2 linked regions of the Macaca mulatta genome follow. The protein of the gene in region 1 interacts with the protein of each later gene in a pairwise test. Links are inferred from orthologs where the notes say so. Each region holds a gene or a part of one and is shown on either strand. Other genes may lie near its edges.

Region 1 (3,819 bases):
CTCTGTCTCAAAAAAAAAAAAAAAAGCCAAATGTGGTGGTGCACATCGGTAGTCCTAGCTACTTAGGAGGCTGAAGTGGGAGGATTGCTTGAGCCCGCAGGTCACTGCACTCCAGCCTGGGCAACAGAGTGAGTGTCTGTCTCAAGAAAAAAAAAAAGGCCGGGCGCGGTGGCTCACGCCTGTAATCCCAGCACTTTGGGAGGCCGAGACGGGCGGATCACGAGGTCAGGAGATCGAGACCATCCTGGCTAACACGGTGAAACCCGGTCTCTACTAAAAAAATACAAAAAACTAGCCGGGCGAGGTGGCGGGCGCCTATAGTCCCAGCTACTCGGGAGGCTGAGGCAGGAGAATGGCGTGAACCCGGGGGGCGGAGCTTGCAGTGAGCTGAGATCCGGCCACTGCACTCCAGCCTGGGTGACAGAGCGAGACTCCGTCTCAAAAAAAAAAAAAAAAAAGCAAAAAAAAAAGCATTGGGATGGCCTGAACCCACAGCAGTGACTCTTTCCTGCCTCAGCCCCTCTGCACTGGGCACCTGCCACTTACCAGACTGTCGCACACATTCTCTCACTTGATTCTCACAGCCTCCCCGTGAGATGGGAGCTGTAATTATCCTCTTCGTGCAAACAGGTGCAGGAGTGGGTAAAAGACCAGCTGCTGGGCTCAAATACTGTTTCCTACTCACTGGCTCTGTGTCTGTGGACAACTGTTCTCCTGTCTGAAAATGAAGATACTAGGCTGGGTGTGGTGGCTCAAGCCTGTAATCCCAGCACTTTGGGAGGCCAAGGTGGGTGGATCACCTGAGGTTGGGGGTTGGAGACCAGCCTGGCAAACATGGTAAAACCCTGTCTCTACTAAAAATACAAAAATTAGCCGGGCATGGTGGTGCACACCTGTAATTCCAGCTACTCGGGAGGCTGGGGCAGGAGGATCACTCGAACCTGGGAAGCACAGGTTGCAGTGAGCCAAGATCATGCCACTACACTCCAGCCTGGGCAACAGAGTGAGACTCCATCTCAAAAAAAAGAAAAAAGAAAAGAAAATGAAGATACTACTGTGCCAATGATATGAGTCAGTATTTGTAAAGTGGTTAGAACAGTTCCTGGCAGTTTATATTTTATAAATGTTAGCTCTAATGGGGAAACGGGGGCACAGAAAGGTTATGTGACCTGCCCAAAACCACACAGCTTATGAGCAGGGATTTGCCACTAGGTCAGTCTCTGACTGCCAGGCTGTGTTCTTTCTGTTCTCAGAGCTAGCCTGTACATTGAAGGTAGACAGCAGTGTAGCCTCTGCCCAGTGGAAGCCCCTCAATCCACATGGACCTCATCTGTGGCCTTCCATTTCTTATTCCTTAGAAGTTCCACCTCGTGCCAAGCATCAACACCATGAGTGGCAGTCAGGAGCTGCAGTGGATGGTACAGCCTCATTTCCTGGGGCCCAGCAGTTACCCCAGGCCTCTGACCTACCCTCAGTACAGCCCCCCACAACCCCGGCCAGGAGTCATTCGGGCCCTGGGGCCGCCTCCAGGGGTGCGTCGAAGACCTTGTGAACAGGTAAGGCACAGAGGCATCGCAGTGGCTCCGACTCCACCCAGGAGTGCTGGGTGCAGAGAAGCTCCTACCAGAAAGGAGAACATAGGGTTAGGAGAGAGTAAGGTAGGCTATAGGTGACTACTGCCCAAGGCTGAAAGCGATAGGAGCCCCACGGGAGGCCCAGAGGATACAACAGTCACTTCTGGATCACAGAAGCTTCCTGGAAAAGGTGGCATATTAGCCTAGAAGGATGGGTAGGACTGGCAGAGGCACAGAGGAAGGAAAGGACATTCCAGGTAGAGAGGGATGGCAGGAGCAAGGATGGAGGTGGAGGCAAGAGCATGTAACGTGCGCACATGTAATGGTGAGGGGGTCTCCACCTACCAGCATGCATAGAGGGGATACTTATGTTGTCTGGGAGAGAACAGGAACAAGAGGGTTCCCTTCAGCTACTCCCTCAGTCTCAGTTTCCCTGTCTCATTTAATCCTCAAGAAATCTATCTGGGGTATGTACCCTGGTTTTCCCCATCTTCCACCAAGGAAATGAAGGCACAGAGGGGTAGTCACTTGCCCAAGATCACACAAGTAGTGAGTAATGGCACAGAACTGGCCTTGGCTCCAGGTCCATCCAGCTCTGAAGTCAGATCCTAACCACCAAACCAAGGCCAGGTGCAGTAGCTCATGCCTGTAATCCCAGCACTTTGAGAGACCTAGGCAGGAGGATCACTTGAGGCCAGGAGTTAAAGACTAGGCTGGGCAACGTAGAGAGCCCCTGTCTCTACCGAAAAAAACAAAATAAAATAAAATCCCCAAAACTAATCACCAAGCCACTCTGTCTCACTGGGAGCTAACAGAAGGCTCAAAGTAGAGGGAATTGAGAATTCTTGGCTCCTCAAGGCCCTTACCAAAATAAGTGAATAAGAGATGGTGAGTCTTTAAAGGAGTGGCTCTCTTTCCTCTCCGTGGGCATTTTGGTGTGGGAGACTACAGGGGATGAGTTTAAAAAGCTTGGTTGGCAGGTAGAGGATGGGGAGAGAGGTTAGGGCCCTGGGAAAGATGAGAGATAGCCAGGGATAGGTTTCCCAGAACAGGATGTCTGGCCTTTGTGGTGAGGAGGGACTGTGGTGTGAGCCACAGAAGCGGGCCAGGGGTAAACCCTCTTGTGCATCCTTCCTTCAGCCTGGTTCTGCGGGTGACCCTTTGATCCTGGGCTCTCCAGGTAGGGCTGTGAGCTGTGAGTTGGATCCTTTTGGCGAAATGGTCTCTCTCATCTGGCCTGTCACTCAATGTGGAATAGAGTGAGTGGGTTCTATGGGTTCTAAGTCCTACTCTGGAACCATAAGCAAGTTATCCTCCGTGGGCTTCAGTTTTTCATGGAAAGTTGGGTTAAGAATCTATGTTTAAGGCCAGGTGTGGTGGCTCACGCCTGTAATCCCAGCACTTTGGGAGGCCGAGGCAGGCAGGTCATGAGGTCAGGAGATCAAGACCGTCCTGGCTAACATGGTGAAACCCCGTCTCTACTAAAAAATACAAAAAGCCGGGCGTGGTGGTGGGCGCCTGTAGTCCCAGCTACTCGGGAGGCTGAGGCAGGAGAATGGTGTGAACCCAGGAGGCAGAGCTTGCAGTGAGCTGAGATCGCGCCACTGCACTCCAGCCTGGGCGACAGAGCAAGACTCCGTCTCAAAAACAAAAACAAACAAAAAACAACAACAACAGGCCGGGTGCGGTGGCTCACACCTGTAATCCCAGCACTTTGGGAGGCCAAGGAGGGGGATCACCTGAGGTCAGGAGTTTGAGACCAGTCTGACCAACATGGAGAAACGCCGTCTCTATTAAAAATACAAAAAAATTAGCTGGGCGCGGTGGCACATGCCTGTAATCCCAGCTCCAGCTACTAGGGAGGCTGAGACAGGATAATCGCTTGAACCTGGGAGGTGGAGGTTGCGGTGAGCCAAGATCACACCATTGCACTCCAGCCTGGGCAACAAGAGTGAAACTCTGTCTCAAAAAAAAAAAAAAAAATCTATGTTAAAAAAAAAAAAAAAGAGGCCAGGTGTGGTGGCTCCTGCTGGTAATCCAAGCTTTCTAGGAGGCCAGTGCAGGAGGATCCCTTGAGCCCAGGAGTTCCAGACCAGCCCGGGCAACATAGCGAGACCCCATCACTACAAAAAAAAAAAAAAAAGGCCAAGCACAGTGGCTCATGCCTGTAATCTCAGCACTTTGGGAGGCTGAGGAGGGTGGATCACCTGAGGTTAGGAGTTCAAGACCAGCCCGGCCAATATGG
Region 2 (2,554 bases), on another chromosome or scaffold:
ATCATACCTACCTTCATTATGCTGAGCCCTGCGTTTCTCATCCCGAGTCGTCCGGGGAGCTTCTGACTTCCTGACAACAGAGCCCAGGGTGGCCAGAGTAAGAAGACAAAAGTACATGATTGGAGTTTGGGGTTAAGGAATTATACAAGATTTAGCAGGTACTAGGACCACTTATGGGTAGCTGGGTGTGTTGTCTCACACCTGTAATCCCAGCATTTTGGGAGGCCGAGGCAGGCGGATTGAGGTCAGGAGTTCGAGACCAGCCTGGCCAACATGATGAAACCCTGTCTCTACTAAAGATACAAAAATTAGGCCGGGCGCGGTGGCTCAAGCCTGTAATCCCAGCACTTTGGGAGGCCGAGACGGGTGGATGACGAGGTCAGGAGATTGAGACCATTCTGGCTAACATGGTGAAACCCCGTCTCTATTAAAAAATACACACACAAAAAAAAACCTAGCCGGGTGAGTTGGCGGGCGCCTGTAATCCCAGCTACGCGGGAGGCTGAGGCAGGATAATGGCGTAAACCCGGGAGGCGAAGCTTGCAGTGAGCTGAGATCCGGCCACTGCACTCCAGCCCGGGCGACAGAGCGAGACTCCGTCTCAAAAAAAAAAACCAAAAACAGATACAAAAATTAGCCAGGGGTGGTGGTACACATCTGTAGTTCCAGCTACTTGGGAAGCTGAGGCATGAGAAACACTTGAACCCTGGAGGCAGATGTTGTGTGAGCTGAGATCACGCCACTGCACTCCAGCCTGGGTGACAGAGCAAGACTCTGTCTCAGAAAAAAACAAAAAAAACAAAAAAAAACACTTATGAAATTTGAGAAGAAACAAGTGTCACTCACGGGGAATAAGGGTGAGTCCTAGGGGCAATTGAGCGCTGGCTTCCTCCCTGCAGTACTTCTTGTGGTGACATCATCACAAAGAATTGACCTGTGAAGATGCAGGGTAGGTTCTGTCAGGACATGGGTAGGAACCTCACCAAGCCCTGAGGTGAAGACCCTGGGCCCCTCCTCTAAAAAGAACATGTTAATAGAAGAGCAGCCCCGGACTCACTGCCTGCCCAGATCTTAATGATCACTAAGAGTCATGAGTGAAGGCTCACTGCCTACCAGTCATGTCTCACAGCCTATTCTAGCCCTTTCAGCCAGCATCCTCATGCAGTATCTCACCAGTGCCAGGAGGGGTCGCCTGCCCCAGCAGTGCCTCTGAGCCCTGGGTAGTAACAACAGCAGCTGTACTCCCCGATGTGGTACCCCCTGCCCCATCTCCCACTGCCGTGCTGGGGAAGTAAGTATAGTGCGTCTCAGCAGCTGTCCCCTCCGTGTCAACTGCATCATCACTGGTGAAAGCACCCTGGATCACCGCCTGAGAGAGAGAGAGAGAGAGAGAAACATCCAGGAAAGGAGAGCCTAGTGCTTTGGGACAAGGCAGCCCTAGACGCCTCACTGTTCCTAGCTTCACCCCCATCCTACTAATACCCTTCTTCATCTTACTTCTCAGAACTCTAGTCACCTCCCCAGCCCATACCCTGTACCTGGGTCATGGATTGAGTGGCAGGGTAGCCACTGATGGCACCAGTTCCCTCAGTTTGGCCATCCAGCTGCCCCTCAGACACCTGGATCACCCTGTACATCACCTAGAAGTGTAGAGGAAGGCAGAGCAAGGGAAAGAGAGAATAAAAGATTAAGTGTTGGGAATCCTAGGGCCCCTCATAAAGCTTCCCTTGGATAGGGCCCCAAAACAAAGTCCTTCAGAGACACGGATTGAGCCATTCTCCCTTCTCTCCCCACACAGAGGTTTCAGCATACACCTAACCTCACACCAGTCTCTACTCCAGTATCAGCACCCCCCTCCCCTGAAACAGTCCACTCTTTCAACTCATCCTCCAAGCCAGGTCTCCCCAAGACATGTTCAATTACCTCCCTCAATCCCAATCCCAAATAACACCTGCAGCCACCTGGCCCCCTCCCTTACCTGGCCCCCATTCTCAGTTCGGAAGACGTACTTGACGTTGGGGTCAGGGAAGGTGGCAGCTGACTGGATGCTGGCAATAGCCACACTGGTTGGGTCTTCCCCAGTAGCCACTGCACCTGAATTAAAAGAACAAAAGAAAAGTCTGTGAGTTAACTGCCTTTCTATCCCCGTTCCACGTGCATGTCACTGAAGGAGGAGGATGCACAGGAGATGGTCTGGTGGGGGAGGAAGGGAGGCCATGATGGGTTCTTAGTCTTGGTTCCGTCTCTAGCACTCACCTTCCTGAATCTGCACTGTCCCCTCTTCCGTTTCAGCTGTTTTCTGCTGCCTGTTTGTGGTGAAAGGACAAAAGGAAGAGTATGGGAAGAAGTCAATGAGAAGCTCACCGGCCCAGTAACATATGGCTGCAAACTCATTGGCATTCCCAACAGAAGCTGAGTTAGGTTAGAATAACAACTAGTGTTTGCTGTTTACTATGTACATAAGCACTAAGCTAAGTACATCACATGTACTCTTATTTAATATTAAAAACAACACCATGAGATAGATAGCACTACTTCCATTTTATAGATGAAG

What was found.
Region 2: the proteins of FOSL1 (region 1) and USF1 interact in binary tests that used the Homo sapiens proteins (3 or more experiments, as listed by UniProt). The link is inferred for Macaca mulatta from reciprocal best matches to the Homo sapiens genes FOSL1 and USF1.

The regions. Positions count from the first base shown.
Region 1 is NC_133419.1:8,525,304-8,529,122, forward strand, and holds part of FOSL1 (fos-related antigen 1), read left to right. Parts: intron 1-1,358; coding exon 1,359-1,556; intron 1,557-3,819.
Region 2 is NC_133406.1:105,840,427-105,842,980, reverse strand, and holds part of USF1 (upstream stimulatory factor 1), read right to left. Parts: intron 2,307-2,554; coding exon 2,257-2,306; intron 2,095-2,256; coding exon 1,979-2,094; intron 1,641-1,978; coding exon 1,539-1,640; intron 1,370-1,538; coding exon 1,174-1,369; intron 935-1,173; coding exon 847-934; intron 71-846; coding exon 12-70; intron 1-11.